Kluyveromyces lactis: one gene and its partner. The main gene of each other region encodes a partner of the protein of the gene in region 2 in a complex. Links are inferred from orthologs where the notes say so. Each region holds a gene or a part of one and is shown on either strand. Other genes may lie near its edges. The genes, in order: COX6 and KLLA0_F03641g.

Region 1 (8,649 bases), about 1.7 Mb from region 2:
TTGTGAAATCTGTGGTTTATATAATATTTGACATATGTTTAATATAGTAATTAAATCTTTTTGTGACACTTTTATTTTTCGTTTTTCCTTTTCCTTCACTGACTGCATGGACGCACCAGTCCACACAGAAAAACCAGCAAACCTAAATGTGGCACATCAGAAAAGTTGTTCGAGCGGCGATGGGTTTGCACCATCCAAACAATACTAGGAATAACGTTTTCCTGCTGGTTCGAAAACGCACTGAATTTAACTACTGTTATTCTTTTATGAATTGCAAAGTATCGATGCTATCTGGAAAATTTGAGTACAGATTAAATACATTTTGTAGGGAAAACTATCATTGTAGGAGCGGTGACAGCCGTTAAATCTATGCTAAATGGGTAAGTTTTAAGACGATATTTGTGAAGGATAGAAATTAAGAAAGAGGAATGAAAAAAAACGCGATACTCCTGTACCTCTAATTTTTTACGTTTTTATTCTTTGTCTTTTGTCTTTTAGCGCTGGATTTTTGTTCTTTCGTTTGCTCTTTCTTTTGTTCTTCTTGCTCTTCTTCTGCCTCGACCTCTTCCAAGTTTCTTTTGGCTTGCTTAATTTGCGTAGCAAACAAGGAGTCTAGTTCGTCTGGATTTGCAATTTCTAACAAAGATTTCTCAAATTGTGATAGTTGCAATTCGACACCATCAATTTCTATGACATTTTGAACGGAAGTCTTAGCATCATGTCTGGACCCAACCAATTTGTCTAATACTTCCAAATTAACGTATAATGGAAGGACTGGTGATTCGTTAGATTTGAGAAGAATGGTTCTGATATTGTACTTTTCGATGAACTGTTTAGCGACAGAAATGATATTTTCAGTCAATTGTTCTGGGGTGAACCATTCCAATGAACCTAGATGAACATTCATCGTGTTACCTCTTGGAAGTTTGACTGGGATTTTAGTATCATAAATTCTCTTGATGCTATTTACCAAAGTTGTCTTGTTAAACTTGTTATCCGATCTTGTGTTAATGGCAATTGGAGTGGTATTCAACTTACTGTATGCTTTACCACCTAATAGCTTGGGCAAAGCTGTCACTATCGAGTCATCAGCTAGAATGAAAGAAAAATCCTGTACAAATGCACGCCTCTTTTCAAAAGCCTTGTATTTTGTCTTCAAATCTTTACCAGATATGATGGCATCAATAGTAATATGTTCTGGAAGTAGATCGATCAAGTCTTCTGATGTCACTGAATTGATATCAGAATCTTTTAGAATCAAAAGAGTCTTGAAATCTTTAACCATGGTGGTGCTAGCTTCCTTCCATGGCTTGAAGATAGAATGAGGAACTGTAATTAGTTTTGGTTTGAAGTTTTTCAAAGAACCAGTAAAAGATTCAGTGTTGACTAGGATCAACTGTAGCTGAGCCTCCAATTCAGAATCATCAATTAACTGATTGTCATTTGATCCATTTTCCTTCAAATATTCTTGCAATTTAATAACAGCATTGTTAACTCTGTTAACTGGAATGACTTCTTCCTCTTTACTGCCCTTAGTAGCCTTGGTGGCTTTGGTCGAAACCTTGCTTTTCTTAGTTTTAGTTGCCATATTATCTAAACTTTGATATTGCTTATAATGTGCTTGTAGATATACTAGACTGGATGAGTGGAGTTATTTCCTCTATATTCTGGATTCTTTCCAAGCGTTTTTTAACTTACTTGATTCGCACTGTCTCAGAAAAAGATCAACAAATTGTTGGTTCACCTAGGTAAGCTTACTTCTCGAGTTCGTACTGGCAACTATGAAATATCCAGTATATATCTAATCAATCCTTTGAGCTGAGAAATAAGAATAGGTACTTAAATACTTTACATACCATTACTTTATTAATCGTGTTAGGTGTGCAACATACTTCGAGATGAGATGAGATGAGCTATGATGAGATGAGCTCTCTATTGTCAAAAATAAAAATTTTCTGTTTCGCAGGAGCTCCACTGTGTTCACGTAGTTAGTAAATATTGCTTTTTGAAAGCGAAGGCCGTAATATATGATTTGAAACTTTTCTTGAAATTTGATAACATTTGACACTTAAGAAATAAAGAGTAACCGAATCTGATATTGAATCTCGGTGCGTGTTTGTGCAAAAGTTACTAATGAGCAACGGGCTACGTTCAGTGAATGGGGTTACAATACAAAAGGGCTTAAACTGTGTATTTTAGGGTTTCTTTCTCTGGTTTATTTCGGAACAGTACTATTTTTGAGTTAGGTTTTTTCGGCTGTCAAACAGGACTCACGATCGATATAAAGGATACCTTAACAGAGAATACGCCGCACGAATCTGATTTATGAGTTATTAAGTTGCTATTATTATTATTATTATTATTATATCGTAAACATAGTCATCGTCCCCGTTCATTTATACTGCAAAAGGCATATTAGCATATATTAATCAAATCTAGCCGCAGGGGTAAGCATACGCTCTCACAAGACAAATAAGAAGAGCATTAGACATGGGTAAGAGAAAGAAGTCATCCAGAGGTCCAGCCAAGAAGATAGTACAGAGGTTAGATACGGCATTCAATTGTCTCTTCTGTAATCACGAACGCTCTGTGAGCGTAACAATGGACAAAAAGAATAACATTGGCTCGCTTCATTGTAAGATTTGTGGACAATCGTTCCAAACCCGCATTAATGGTCTATCACAACCGGTAGATGTATATAGTGACTGGTTTGATGCGGTTGAGGAAGTTAACGAAGGGAAACATAGCGAATCTGAAGATGAAAACAGTGACAGTGACTACGAGAGTGACTCTGATACTGAGCCTTCTTCAAACCGTAGAAAAGCTGTTGGAATAGATTCTGACGAAGAAGAAGAAGAAGAACAAGAAGAAGACGAAGATGCGGATTACGGAAGAAAAGGAGCGACCGAACGAAAAGACTCAGAACCAGAATCAGACTCAGACGATGACGGTAAAATATCTAACAAAAGAGGAAGAGCAGCATGGATGGACAGTGATGACGAGTAGTCGAACCGACAGAAACACAGACATCGAACACCAATATTAATCTTACAATTGTATCTATCTATCTATATATTACCCAGAGATATACTAGTAGAACGAATAAAATCAGGTATAAAGGAGCTGATATTTACGTTCAAAGAGATTGCTGGATCTTATCTGTTTCCTATAAGAATTTATATAACGCTCACCTTGGCTTTAACCATCGGTTGATAGTATTCAGTTTGTACTGCAGAAGAATTTATATATCAATTCTACATCAATAATAGTATCTTTGGTATATCGAACTTCTCAGTAATGTGGCATTATTTCTGAACTAGATGGTGATACACGAGATAACAAAACTCGAAAACTTCAGTTGTATGAATTCAAACAAGATAAAATTACTTCTGCTCGTAACGGTGCAATAACCTAACATACGATCAAGTGAAAACAAAAGAGCACATTTTTCTGTCTACCGCTAAATAGACTAAACGCGTATGTTAATAGCTGTTTGTTTGATATATAACTACTTTTCCTTATAATTTAGTCAGTATAACATATATATAATTATAATAATTGTGATGATGATGATAATAATAATAATAATAATAATCTTGATTTTATTTGAATTGTTTGTAAATGTTTCTTGAAGGTTTGTATTCACGGTTCTGTATATGTCCTGGCAAATAAATAATGTCTTCGTATCTGCTACTACCAGTAGTCAGCACCAAAAAAACCTCCTCAAACAAACAAATGTGTGACAAGAATATATGGTGTCATAGGATGGGACACGTTCGTAAATATAGTTTTTGATGATATTTATTTTGGTTTCATTTGGTTGTTGGTGTTGTGGATAAGTATTGTTCTTTCCTTCCTAGTGAAAGGTTCTCAAAAAGTGAAAATAGTATGGGAGAAGATGATAAAGCCGGTGACTTTAGATTAAATGTTCTTCTATATGCACTTATTGGAACAATTCCTCCTTCAAAGGAATTCCCAATTCTTCTCTAACATCCTTCAATTCATCCAAGTAAGCCTTGTATTGATCTTCGTTTTCAACTTTGTATCTCAAGGCTTCGAACACTCTGACAGCAGTTGGCAAGTCGTTAACCTTTCTGGCGGCTCTCAAGGCCTTTTCGATAACAGCTGGGGCTGGAACCAAATCGTAAGAGAAACAGTTATTCAACACTCTTTGGACTTCGAATAAATCGTAAGCCTCTTCGAATTCCTTTTCGTATCTGGCGGTGAATTCTTCAAAGGTTTCTTCTTCGTGTGCATCGGAGTACTTTCTGATAGAAACAAATTGAGATTGTAATTGACCAACTCTTGGGGCAACAGCAGCTCTCATCATAACCGGAGCAACGGCTCTTACTGGCATAGCAGCTCTCAACAAAGTTCTGGACAACATATTTTTCTTTGTATTGGTTGATTCGGGATTTGGATTTGATTCACTGTATTAAGATGATCAAATAGCTATTCTAAAAGGAATTATAACAAACCGTATTCACAAAAGATTCAAAGTCGAGTTCTATTGTAATTAAAACTTAATGTAAAACGCTTTAAAGATATATCAAATAGGTTAGGTAAAAGGTAAATCGACCGATAATTTTCTCTGGAGTTTTTTTAAAAATTTGAAGTAATGAAGAATGAAAAAAAAAAAATTAAATACTTAAAATCGCATAGGACAAATATCAACAAACAGTTCAAATACTTAAACTAGTGGATAGCTACGTCTTTGAACTAGATAAAAACGAGATTGTTAAAAGGAAAGTAAGAGTAATAACTTGCGAAACGAATAGCACAAATTTGAACCTCGAGTGAGTCGTTCCATTCGAAACAACTTTTATTGTATCTTATTCTTTGTATGCATCATCTTCTTAGTAGTTTACAAAAAAGTGGTATTATCAGTTTTTTAAATAGTGTGTCTATGGAAAATGGATGGAAGAAAAAAAGAGGGCTAACATAATTCATCGGCAGAGTTGCAACAAAAGTTCACACTCCAAAAAATCCTACATGTGGTACTTACGAGCAAGTCGTTTATCTAGTTCGATTTTAATTATTTGAATTGAGTATTTCTTGACTTTCTGCTGCCTGTCATTTTTCAGTCGAGCGATGTCAGATTAAAGATCTCATGTTCAAAGGAAATGAAACCTTAACTCTCATAATCTTCGAAATAATGTCCTATAAAACAAGATAATAAGTCCGTGATAATAAACCCCACAAGCAGTATCTATAGAATCCAATAAAACACATTCGTGAAATATGCTGGGGGGTAATGGGCATTGATTGAGACTGGTCCGACCGTTCTGTAGGGTGTCTTGTTTGTGGGGAAGGAGAACGTATTGGCATATGATTGGTTCGTCACCGATGATTTTTACCACATAGTCGGGTAATAGGACAGCGGGAGAACGTGACTTCAATACAAATACAATTACCCGGAAGTCGCGTGGTTTCAAAGGTTTTTTTTTTCTCGGTAGGCAGGTTCCCCTGTTCGATCCCTCATCTCCGCAGAAAACTGCGGGTTATTATGTCTCTAAACGCGATAGTTAATCCTCTATATCGTCAAACGTTGAGATAGGTGGCATCGCGGTCTTGATATGTTGCATCAAAGCCGTATGGTTTGGTTCAGAGTTTGTAGACCCCTCAACTATTATTCGGGTATGTCCATTGTCAAACACTTTTCGAACAGCAGGTTTTGAATCATCGTCGATACCTGCACCAGCCTCTTCATGTCCCGTGTTACGATTAGGCCATTCTTCAAGCCTAGAGTAATCAAATCCCGGAGGAGGTGACGCTGGCGGAGACACTAGAAATAATGTCTGGGCAGGGGGAACTTTAAGGTGATTCATCACAGTGTCAGCGCCAGCGTGTGGAAATCCAGCTTGTGAATTCGATTCAGCCACGTGATTCGTGATGGAGAACCCAAATTTACAATCAGGGAATAATGGGTTCAAGGATTTCACTTCACGGCTCGCCTCAATATTAGGCGATGTTACCAATATTCTCTTGAATCCAGGAAGTGTAATGACACGCACGGCATCCGCACCGTAAATCTGTCGAGTATCCACCACACATTCTTGCACCTTATTTACGATCTCATCAAACAAGGGCTTGGAGCACACGTCCTTTGTCTTTGACGTTATTATTACAGTATCAGTAGCAAAATCATCATACGTTGCCATTCCAAAGAAGTGTATTCAGTGTGAGTGTAACCAAAGTTCGCCGCTATTTGTGCATGTCTAAGTAAACACTTAGTATATGTAAGTAGTAGATTACGTAGTTACTGAAGAAAGTGAATCGATCTTTACAGTGAAATATTGAAAAAAATATTGAAACAGAAAATCACTAATGCATGAGATGAGGTGTGTTCAGAATAACATTACGTGTAATTAAGTTACGCTTGATTCAGTTTGAGATTTATACGTTAGAATTAATTAAAGAGACAGAAGAATATACAGAATGCCTCTCACTAACGTTATATACTGTGGTGTGTGTGACTTTCCTGCTGAATACTGTGAATTTTCCGGTAAATTCAAACGTTGTAAAGCTTGGTTACAAGAAAACCACCCAGAATTGTACACCAAATGGTATGGCGATGTCACTGAAGATGTGTCTAAACAATTGGCAGAATCATCTATTGGTGATGAAAGAGAGGAGAAGCTTGAAAAGGCCCTAGAGAAACTAGAAAGAAAACAACAGGCTAGAGAGGAAAGAGAATTGGCTAAGAAATTATCGTCTAAAGTTGTGATCAGAAGAGAAGCAAGAACAAAACGGAAGTGTATGATTGCTATCTCTGGACTAGAAGTTTTCGAAATTGACATGAAGAAACTTTCCAAAACTTTTGCATCCAAATTTGCTACAGGTTGTTCTATCTCCAAAAATGCCGAGAAGAAAGAAGAAGTGATTGTTCAAGGTGATTTGGCAGATGAAGTAGAAGCATATATACATTCTTTACTAGAGGAAAAAGGTATGAAAGAAGTTAAGGTAGAAGTAATCGATGCCGCGAAGAAGAAGAAAAAAGCTGAAACTACAACTACACCAGGATCCGAAAATAAGAAATGATTATGAGAAGCACATTTAGCTGACACCCTTTTGTCATAACTTTATGTTAGCCTCTTAGGTAGAAAGATTTATATAATACCGCATTCATCGTTCAACAAACTGCACAATTAAACATCAGTAAGATGCTATATCTATACCCTCATATATAATAACTGTAGTAGCTATTAGGTTCCCATAAATATACTCCCATGGTGAGGAAGGGCAATACCTTACAAAAGAATATCCGGGTAAGATCACTTTTTCTTCACTTCCACTTCCATTATGCACCGTTAGATGGTGAGGAAACATGTCAAAATGTAAAATAAACTAAAAGCTATTTTCACCGAGCACAGAGAGTAAACAAGAGAAAGAGCCTTGAGTAATACACTGAGCACTCTTGTATTTGCTTACCAATTGGTTGAATCACGGAAGCATTCGGAAGTCAATTGTACTATGACCAGAGGATACATTGATGATTCGGTGAATCATGCTTTAGATTCTCGACTAATTGGTTCAAGCGTTTTTCAATCGTCAGATGCTTTGCTGGATCAATTATTATCTCTTCATTATAGAGCCCATTATCACATAAACATTTCTACAAAGACAAAATTCAGTGCACTGTCGGCCCTTTTATCTGAAGTGGAGAAGTTGCCCGTTCTAAAGGATGAATTACACTGTGCAATTGCGGACAATATCTATGGTATTGTTTTCTGTGAACTTGATGAAAAGGAAAAGGGGTTGCAGTACGTCTCTAAGAAGTTAGGCAGCGTTAATGGATACGATAGATTTGGAAGAATGCTAGATTTGGAAAGGCTATTTTATAAGGGAAATGTCGACTTAGCTGAGTTTTCCTCTGAAAGCTGGACTATTCCGAAATATTCTGATGGCTTAACTTGGCATTATTTGCAGGCAATAATAAAAGGGCTGGACCTCTCTCATTTTAAGCCAAAAACACCATTCCAATGGATGCTTTTGACCCTTAATGGTTCTGCAACTGACTCAAATCTTCTATCTTATAGCCATTCATTATTGAAGAAAAGTCGTTTCCCTAATGCTGATGAATCAAATAATTTTGAACTAGAACAATTCCACATGGTCCTACAAGAGCATCTCAAAATAAATAATTTAAATGTGAAGAAAGAATGGGAGCAATTTATCATTGATAGTATGGAAAAAAGTTTCCAAAGTATTTCGGTTGCAAAATCAGCAATGCTCTTTTATCGAAAGGTCGATCTAAAGAGGAGCATTCTAAACTTTACCAATTTGGTCAATTATTCAAACAAATATTACGAACTTAACAAAAGGTATCCTGACTTATTAGACTTAGTTTCATCGTACCAATTCATTCTGTCTACATGTAAAACGCCATTTGAACCGTTCTTCATGCCAGCAAACGTATCATCCGATTTCTTAAAGTTGCTAGAAAGAATTCACAACAAGTACAGTATCCCTATTATAGAAAAACAAAAGGCACTAGAAGGCAGCTCAGATGTATTGGACTTATGTCTAGCCTCATCAACAGCTTCTGTTCTATCCAGTTCATGGGAAACGTTATACGAAACTAGCGCTTCTTCTCTCCCAGCCTTGGTAGATCACAGTCAGATATTTTACCTATCGAATTCTTTGCAA
Region 2 (8,951 bases):
CTAACAGAACTAATACAGAATGCCTATGCCAGCAAAAAAAAGGTGCTAATCCACTGTCAATGTGGAGTATCAAGATCAGCTTCCTTGATAGTAGCTTACATGATGAGATACGACAAATTAAGCTTGAATGAAGCATATAATAAATTGAAGTCTGTCGCCAGAGAAATAAGTCCAAATATGAGTTTGTTATTCCAACTAATGGAATGGGAAGATTGGCTTAACAATTGTGACTCAATCAATGATAACTGTCGGAAACAGTCATTCGAGTCCATCTCGGAATTCGGTGAACTCTCTCTGTGAGATTGTATGATATAAAACGCAATTTTAGGGATACCCATACAAAGTATATAGTAGCCTAAACACTACTCTGTAATAATACGCCGCGGATCTTCTGTTTGGGCAAACTATCAAAACGTACCAAGTGATAATTCTGTTCTTAAAAACATTAAACTTTTGAAGGTTTCTAAGTTATGATATAAGGTAAATAAAGCTGGTGACAAGGGAGAATAATGCAAAGAAACCATTAGATAATACTGTCCTCCCACTTATTATACTTCGGACTTTACGTTACTCGAAGGATTCATTCAGAAGAGTGCGAATTATGGAAAATCAGAGGCCATTCATAACTTTCAAACCTTTCTGAAAAAACCGAGTAATAACCATGAGCGAACCTGTCAAAAAAAGAAGCTTGGGCAGTTATCTATCTCGTCTCGAAGAGAGAAGAGAAGAACGAGAAAGATCAGAGCAACAGCAGCGAGAAAGTCCTAAGCCAGTGGGTGAAAATGGGAATTATTCTGTTACCAATGTTCCAGTAAAGGAGGAAGAGGTATCTCAAAAGGTAACTTCAACTGATCAGAACAGTACAAAACAACCATCAGACGAACCCTATGTCGTTAGCCAAGCAAACAGCTCTGACCAGAAAGTTGGATCTCCTTTGAATAATCAAGAGTCAATACCGGTGAGACAAGCGGAAACGAAAGGACCTATTAATGAAATAAAACAGGAAACGGATGTAGAAGAAAAGAAAAATCTACCGAAAGTAGGGAGAAATAAGCATTCTGACGAAGAATATAGTAGTGCACTCAGTGAAGTTGAAAGTGACGCACCGACAGAGCCTGCATCGCCACCAAGACCAAAAATGGGGAGACTAATACGAGGTGATCAACTTGAAAGCGGAAACAACAGTCGACAATCAAGTGCTCCAGTATTGACAAATGATGGGGAATCCGATTCTGATCTTTCCGATTTAGATGAGGCTCGTACAGCTAAAATATCAAGCAGTGCGATTCACGAAGATTCCTCTCCGGTGAAACATTATAATGAACACAAGCGCAAATCCTCTAGTATAGAAAACTCCTCCAATCACAAGAAGCAAAAACATTCTGCCGGGAAAAAGATACCGAAGACTAAGCGTGGAGTACATAGGGATGCCGGAGGCAGGACAAAACTACAAATTGCTTGTGATAAAGGCAAATATGATTTGGCAAAAAAACTTATTGAAGAAGACGGCTATGACGTTAACGACCAAGACAACGCTGGAAATACGCCACTACACGAAGCAGCTCTAAATGGTCATTCAGCAATTGTCGAGTTGCTCGTAAGAAATGGAGCTAATGTTAATATTCAATCATATGATATGTTTCTAGATACGCCTCTTATTGATGCTTCCGCGAATGGCCACATAAATGTTGTAAAATATCTTCTAGATCACGGAGCAGATCCAACAATGGTAAATGCCAAAGGTCTAAGTGCAATTGAATCTATTGAGGAGGAATCAGACATGGATAATGATGATAGAAGAATAGTGCACGATATGAAAGATATGTTAAAGAGAGCAACGAGGAAATATATAAAACATTCCCATCGCACCTTACAGTCTAGTTCCATGTCAAGACATTCAGATGATATAGACAAACAACTCAACCATGATGACGACTTTTATTGGACTGATATCAGTTCAAAATTGGGTAAAAACAAGCTTTTGAAAGCTTCCAAAGAGGGGAAATTAGCATACGTCGGTTCGTACCTTGAAAACGGTGGTAGACCTGATTTCAGATGTTTCCTTGAGAGTTGCATATATGGTCATGATGACGTAGTAAGTTTATTTTTAGCCTTTGGCGCACAAGTTAATATGAGTAACAAAGAAGGTCAAACTCCGTTGATGCTATCTGTCGGGCGTGGACATGTCAACGTCGTGAAACTTTTACTCGAAGCCGGGGCGGATCCACAGAAAACTGACAAACGAAAGAAAACTGCCTTGCATTATGCTAACCACAGCTCTCTTGGTCTAACGGATCCTGATGAAGTGAATTTACTCAAAGCAGCGGTGAGGGCAAAATATGGATACGAAGTTTCAAACAACAGCGATGAAGAGGGGGAGGAAGATTCTGAAGGGAAATCTCCTTCACCTAGAGAAATATCGTCAATTCCATCCACCAAAGGAGAAGAGCAAGATCGTTCTTTGGAAATTCGTAAAGATGATAGTCCTTATCATTCAGAACCACAATCTAAAATCGGAAATATCAATGAGGAAAAGCCAAAATTATTACCTGATTCTCAAACGACAGCAGAAACTGCTTCCCTAGTCAGGCCAAGTCTAGAGAGACTAGACTCAACAAAATCAACATCTTCAACATCATTAACTCATCGTTATAAAAGTGCATCTCCTACACATCAACTATCCACTCCGCCTATTCTTCCGAAAGAAAGCGAAGAAGAGAGAGCCGCAAGGTTGAAGAGCGAAGAAGAGTACAGGCAAAAGAGACTGCAACAGAAGAAAAGGAAAGAACAGGAATTCTTAAACAGATTAGCTGAAGATGAACGGAAGAGAGTAGAAGAGAAGGAGAAATTGAAGCAACAGGAGGAACAGAGGCTAGAACAGGCCAAGAAAGAGGAACTATTAAAAGAAGAAGAACTTCGAAACAGAAACGAAGTAGAAAAAAGATTAAAGATCAGAGAGCGTTATCCAATTGGATTGAGAGTCATTGATTTCAAAGATCTTGAGAATTACGATAAATTTGGGCCTGTGTACTACTTCACTGAAGATGGATCAAAATGGGTGCTAGATCTTCAAATAAGTGTCATTATCAAATCCAGCACCGAAGAGTTAAAGAAACAATCATCAGAATTTAAAGAAGTGGAAAAGGGTCAGTACCCACAACTATGGAATCTTTTCAAATTCATCTTCTTATATGGCGGCAGCGATAATGCAAACAACTCGAAGTCCTTGCCCTGGAGGCAATTGTCGGAAATTGACCAAACAGAGTATGTAAAATTCTATGAACTCCCACTAACATGGATTAAACTATCGCGATTGAACCTGCAAGATTTAAACCCAAAGATGAATGACTGGATTGAAAAAAATATGATAGAATTTATCCCGGCATCTACATCTGCCTTGTACAGAACAAGAAAGGTCCTTTTACGTGATAGCAAAAGACCTGGCCAAAACGAAAATAATGCTAACACACGCTTTGTCCCTGCCAAATATCAATCACGCTCCAAAATGTTACCATGGTTGAATGCCTCCAAAGCGCTTTGGTAGGGTCATTATACATAGCATAAGAAGCTTAACACTGTAACAATACATAAGAAAAGATAGAAGAAGAACGTCTTCCTCGGAAAATAGAAGTCACGTGGATTTTATATACACGTGACTCGGACCTTTGCAGATGATTTTCCACGCCCTTCATTCATCACTTCCCCAACCCGTACTATGCGACTGTCTTTCCGGGAACATGATTGGCCAGAGTCTGATTTAGTAACGTTAAATCCGAAAAAAAGTTCCATCTCGTATGAAATGACCTAAAACACACCATCATATCATAAACCTTCGATTCTCCTTCGAGATAAACAATAGAGTAGAAAAAAAAACTGTTACCAGCCATTTTTCTTCGAAGCGTTTTCTTGTTAGCGTTTTTTTTTTCGGCCCACTTCCGTTGGTGCTATTCACCTTTTATAATGGAGAAACATGAAAAAAAAAGCTGTAAATTTTTCATATAATTTAAATAAAAGATAAAATATAAAGCTGATTTTAGCTAGTTTCACAGATTTGAACATTGTTTTGGTATAGTTTCTCTAATTTATTCCAAGGGTTTTCTTGTTTGATATTAGTATTCACAACTAGCGGCCAAAGATTTTATAAAGAGTATGTGCACCGTAAGACGTAACATAATCAGGGGATTGCGAATGGGAATTTTCAATAAGGAACAAATGCGAACTGGAGTTTCCGGAGATAATGGATAAAATCATAAGAAGAACGATTTAAGAGATGTTCTAATTATCATCCCGATGAATAAGGTGGTATAGTCATACCTGATCAGGTTTAAAGTTTTAAATGGATTGGTTGTTTTTTAGTGGATTTGGTTCCTATAAGGGTTTTTATCCATTATCTGTATTTGGTCATGGAGAAAGAAATGGCATTTTGAGAATTCAACATAATAATGATTGTAACTCAGCTGTAAAAGAAGGGATCATGTTTTTCAAGACCAGAATTGATATTTAAACTCTTACTTATTCCACTTGCAATTATCGTCTGATTTTTTTCAGTACAAAGAATCTTATTTTTACTAACAACGATTAAACTGGAAAATGATGGGAAAAATATGTTTTTTCCTTATTGAATCATTTTCAATGTTATTATTACCAACAGTGTTGCGTTCCTCCGTTTCTAGAGTTGCCCGTGTCACTCCTGTCAGATTTGCTCAAACACAAGCCCTATCTAAGGCATCTATCGTCGATTTACCAAACAGATGGGAAGACTTGCCAGCTACTGAACAACAAGATATTGTCCTAAAGCTAGCTGAACGTCAAAAGCTACCATGGACTGAGTTGACTAATGTTGAAAAGCAAGCTGCTTGGTACATTTCTTACGGTGCTTGGGGTCCAAGAAGACCAGTGCACGGTAAGGGTGATGCTGCTTTCATTGCCAAGGGTGTTGCTGCTGGTTTGATTGCCTCTTTGCTAATCTTCGCTGGTATAAGACAACTATCTGGTGATCCACCAAAGACTATGACCAAGGAATGGCAATTAAAGTCTGATGAATATTTGAAGTCCAAGAATGCTAACCCATGGGGTGGTTACTCTCAAGTTCAATCCAAATAATTGTGATTTCTTCTACAGTATAGAATGCATTTTCTCCCTCTCTTCTATTCAGTTTATTTCTATTCTCTACAAACAACAAGAACAAAAAAAAGACACACAGTCGATACTCACCTTCATGATATAGGAGAAGTTCAAACTCTTTCTATTTCCAACTTTTTGAATGGGTTGCGGGTTTTTTTGCGTTTTGTTGAAATTGCAAAACAAGAGCTTTCTTCGGAAGCCTAAACTTGTCCTTTCGCCGTGATTTTGAGAACCACCACACGTTAGAGAATCGAATTTATTTAATATTATTTTATTAACGAAGAATAACATATCCTTCTATCACCATTAAATTAATTCACAATTAAGAATAAAAATCATACCAAACATTTGAATTTGAACCCTATGAAATAGGACTTCTTAGTATCAACATCAAGTTTTAAAAAAATTGAATCCAAAAATTTACACAAACAATATCCAAAGCCAAAAATTAATGATTTATAAACGGACACTTATTTAAATTTGAGAATCATTTCACGTATTCTCTTTACGTTTCATTTATTTTATCGAAATCAATTAAATACATTATTCTATCATTCTGAATTCGAGAATTCTTTTCTTATCCAGGAAAGATTCATTAACATTCTCACTTCGAACTATCAATCCAACAGAAAACCCTTAGCTATTTAAATTTGACTAGAGAAAGGCTGTTTCAAAGTTATAAGCATTTCAACGCACGGTATGTAACAGGCCGTTTATTCTACTAGCATCTGGCTCAAAGCTTGAGAAGGACGATCGCTGACAGGATCACAAACAGGAAACGAAAAGAAAAAATTGAAAATGAAAAATTCAATACAGAAAGCGCATCTCATCTCAACGCATATATTTGGCCAATAGAGGAAATTACTTACAGAGGAAGACACATGTCCTCATAACCCCGATAATAATGTCCTTTGCATTTGGCTTCTCTAACGAAGATTTCAGTGATGATGAACTAGATATTGCCAATCAAAATACAGATGATAAGCCATCTACTTCTGTCCCTCGAATCAATCCATTGGATTCCGAAGTGTTACTAGGAGAATCAGTGAATCAACCCAAATATATTGATCTGGATGATCTACTACGTTCACTCGCGAATGTCCGTCTATCTTTTGAAGAAGTGCAAACTCCAACAACAAACTCTGTTCTTTACAGACGTGAACTATTTGACGTTAAACATCAATTGATGTCAGAAGTGGATTCAGGCACAAATAATGTTGAATTGGAGATTTTGATGGGTGAAACCAATGAAGATTTGAGGAGAAATGTGTACGAAGGTGGTTTGAAATCATGGGAATGTTCAATAGATCTAGTAGACTCATTTGTTAAAAATCCAGCACAAATTTCCCAGTGTCAAAATATAATAGAGCTAGGATGTGGGACGTCGCTTCCATCGGAATTTCTTTTTATGGAATATCTAAGATCCAACATCAATACCGGGATTAATTTCACATTATGTGACTATAATGAAAGTGTGATTAGATTGGTATCCATTCCAAATTTGATCGTATCCTGGGCGAAAACTGTGATCAGTAATGAACAATGGATAGAGCTACAAGCTTCTGAAGATTCGAACATCCCAATCGCCTCTGATGAATTACTTCTGACAGAAAAATTACTTGAAGCTTTCAAGTCTGATTTAGAATTTAGAAATGTATCGTTTTCGTTCATTTCAGGTTCTTGGGGAAGGAAATTCATGGATGTTTTAATTGAACACAAGGCTACCCCGTTATCAAACACCTTAATATTAACCGCAGAAACTATATATCAGCCTGATACGCTCCCGGTTATATCAGAAACCTTAATTGAGCTAATCGTGGATAACAAAAAGAACTCATACCCGGTGAAATGCCTGCTTGCAGCAAAAGACATATATTTCGGCGTTGGGGGCAGCATAGTGGATTTTGAAAACTATATCGCCAAAAGGATAGCAACCGATAACCTTCCATTATGTTTAAATAAATTTAAGGTAAATGCTGGATTGAAAAGATCAATTGTACTAATAGAGTGAATCGCCACGTATGACTCTTTTTAAGGCTTGATCATCAATCACGTGATCAAAATCACTTTGTCGACATTGTCAGATTCATATAATATCGTGTAATTCAATCTTTAAATATAGCTTGCATTAAGCGAATGAGCATCAGCTGTACTATAAGGAGATAACTACTGTACTTAGAACCCCAGAATGGCTCAGAACGATCCACTTCAAGGCTTTGAGGATTTTCTCGAGGCTGATTTTCAGCCATTGCGCTTTGCAAACGATCTATTAAAAGTTACAAATAATGGCACAGATACGGATGTCTTGGACCTGAAGACGTGTGTGAAGAGATGCTCGTATGATCTCCAAGAATTAGACAGAAGAATTGAAGGTGCTATCAAGACCAACCCAAGCCATGTGCTAGAACAAATTGAGAAGAGAAAGAAGGAAAAAAGCTTTGTAGGAGATACTCTCAAATCAAACACGGAATATTTGTCTATGTCGTACAACAGATTACAACAAGACATCTTAGAGCCATTTGAAAGGGCACTTAAACTGCAGACAGTTTCTAGTAAAATTCATCAAACTACAACATTACTGAGAAGTTCCTTAATATATGTGCACATGATATCTCAGTTGCAAATGATGCCATTAGAGACAGACTCTACTGATGATGAGCAACTAGCATGCGGGTTAAAAATAGCTGCCTTACATTCACAATTGAAGATTAATATTGAACAAAATCCCAACCTGGCAACTTTGCAGCTGATAAAATCATGCGAGAACAATGTGGTTTCTCCAAATCGACAGGAATTATTGCGATATCTTTCCACCAATTTGACAAGGGATTGTCTAAACAATCTCAAGATGGAAAACAACCCTAAGAGAATTGTGACTTTAATCAAAGCATTGTATACTTTATCTCCAGTAGATCTTTTTGATACAATTGACAAAGTACTCAGTTCAAAAATTCAAACGACGGCTCAAGTGCTATCTAAGACCATCACATCCATTAGAAACTTCAACCTGTCATTAGATGATGCCATGGAAAATAGAAACTCGATACTCACTTTACAGAACTTAATGGAAGAATGTGAGATTGAAGGAAATACGAACACTCTTCGCAATTACCTATCTCAAAGGAAATTTTCCTCGTTGATCGATCAATTTTGGTCAAAAGTCACTAATAGTTTCAAAAGAGATTTCGAAATGTCCTACAATCGCGGTGGACCTGTCGGGAAATCTCTGCAAAGCAATTCCAATCTAATATATGAAGCCATTAGTAAATGCTTCGGTGAAAATGACCCTAGTAATGAACTACAAGGCGAACTGCAGTATATCTTGAAAGCCGTTAGTATATTAGATACAAACAGGAAATAAAAATCAGGCTTATATTTGTATATATAGAGTAACAAGACTGGTCCTTTATGGTTTAGCCTTCGCCTTACTTATAGCACCTGCATCTGCAAGGGGGTTCGTAGCCTTCTTTTTGTTTTTCTTTCCCCCACGCTTATGGAACTTCTTCTTTAGTAGCTTCTTTATCTCTGAATCTCTTTGCTTCCTCAGATCTTCTCTCTCTTTACCGTGTAATCTTGCCATTCTCTGCCTTTTACCTGGCCTTTTTCTCCGTAAATGCCTGATACGAACCTGCTCTGTGTGGACTTTACGATTATGCTCATCTACATCTATTACTTTTCCTCTGAACTGAAGCCATCCGGGATACGGTCCCAGCTCAGCATATTTTAATATTACATCTGCAGACACTGCGGCTGCAGAAAAGTTATGTCTGTCCTGCTCTGAATATTCTGCACAGTAATACGTTCTTGCTCTACCTATTGGAGCTGAG

Evidence for each region.
Region 1: the proteins of KLLA0_F03641g (region 2) and COX6 are in contact, whole or in part, in a cryo-EM structure (PDB 8C8Q), measured with the Schizosaccharomyces pombe proteins. The link is inferred for Kluyveromyces lactis from reciprocal best matches to the Schizosaccharomyces pombe genes cox5 and cox6. Residues at the interface, in NP_588158.2 of Schizosaccharomyces pombe: Gln74, Lys75, Gln76, Pro77, Trp78, Thr79, Ile83, Lys86, Lys87, Ala89, Tyr90, Ala93, Phe94, Arg100; in NP_593931.1 of Schizosaccharomyces pombe: Ala90, Arg91, Asn94, Asp95, Phe96, Pro97, Thr98, Ala99, Val100, Arg101, Glu104, Glu129, Leu130, Gly131, Ile132, Val133, Lys135, Leu138, Phe139.

Annotation. Positions count from the first base shown.
Region 1 is NC_006042.1:2,032,678-2,041,326, forward strand, and holds COX6 (cytochrome c oxidase subunit VI), read right to left. Parts: upstream 4,388-8,649; coding exon 3,944-4,387; downstream 1-3,943. Other genes in the region: CIC1 (Cic1p), read right to left, coding at 458-1,588; ELF1 (Elf1p), read left to right, coding at 2,491-3,006; TMA22 (Tma22p), read left to right, coding at 6,439-7,041; YPP1 (Ypp1p), read left to right, coding at 7,474-8,649. UniProt on the Schizosaccharomyces pombe protein: Component of the cytochrome c oxidase, the last enzyme in the mitochondrial electron transport chain which drives oxidative phosphorylation.
Region 2 is NC_006042.1:342,109-351,059, forward strand, and holds KLLA0_F03641g (cytochrome c oxidase subunit IV family protein), read left to right. Parts: upstream 1-4,146; coding exon 4,147-4,147; intron 4,148-4,651; coding exon 4,652-5,103; downstream 5,104-8,951. Other genes in the region: KLLA0_F03597g (dual specificity protein phosphatase family protein), read left to right, coding at 1-300; HOS4 (Hos4p), read left to right, coding at 662-3,544; HPM1 (protein-histidine N-methyltransferase), read left to right, coding at 6,029-7,135; Golgi transport complex subunit COG5, read left to right, coding at 7,313-8,485; KLLA0_F03707g (uncharacterized protein), read right to left, coding at 8,531-8,951. UniProt on the Schizosaccharomyces pombe protein: Component of the cytochrome c oxidase, the last enzyme in the mitochondrial electron transport chain which drives oxidative phosphorylation.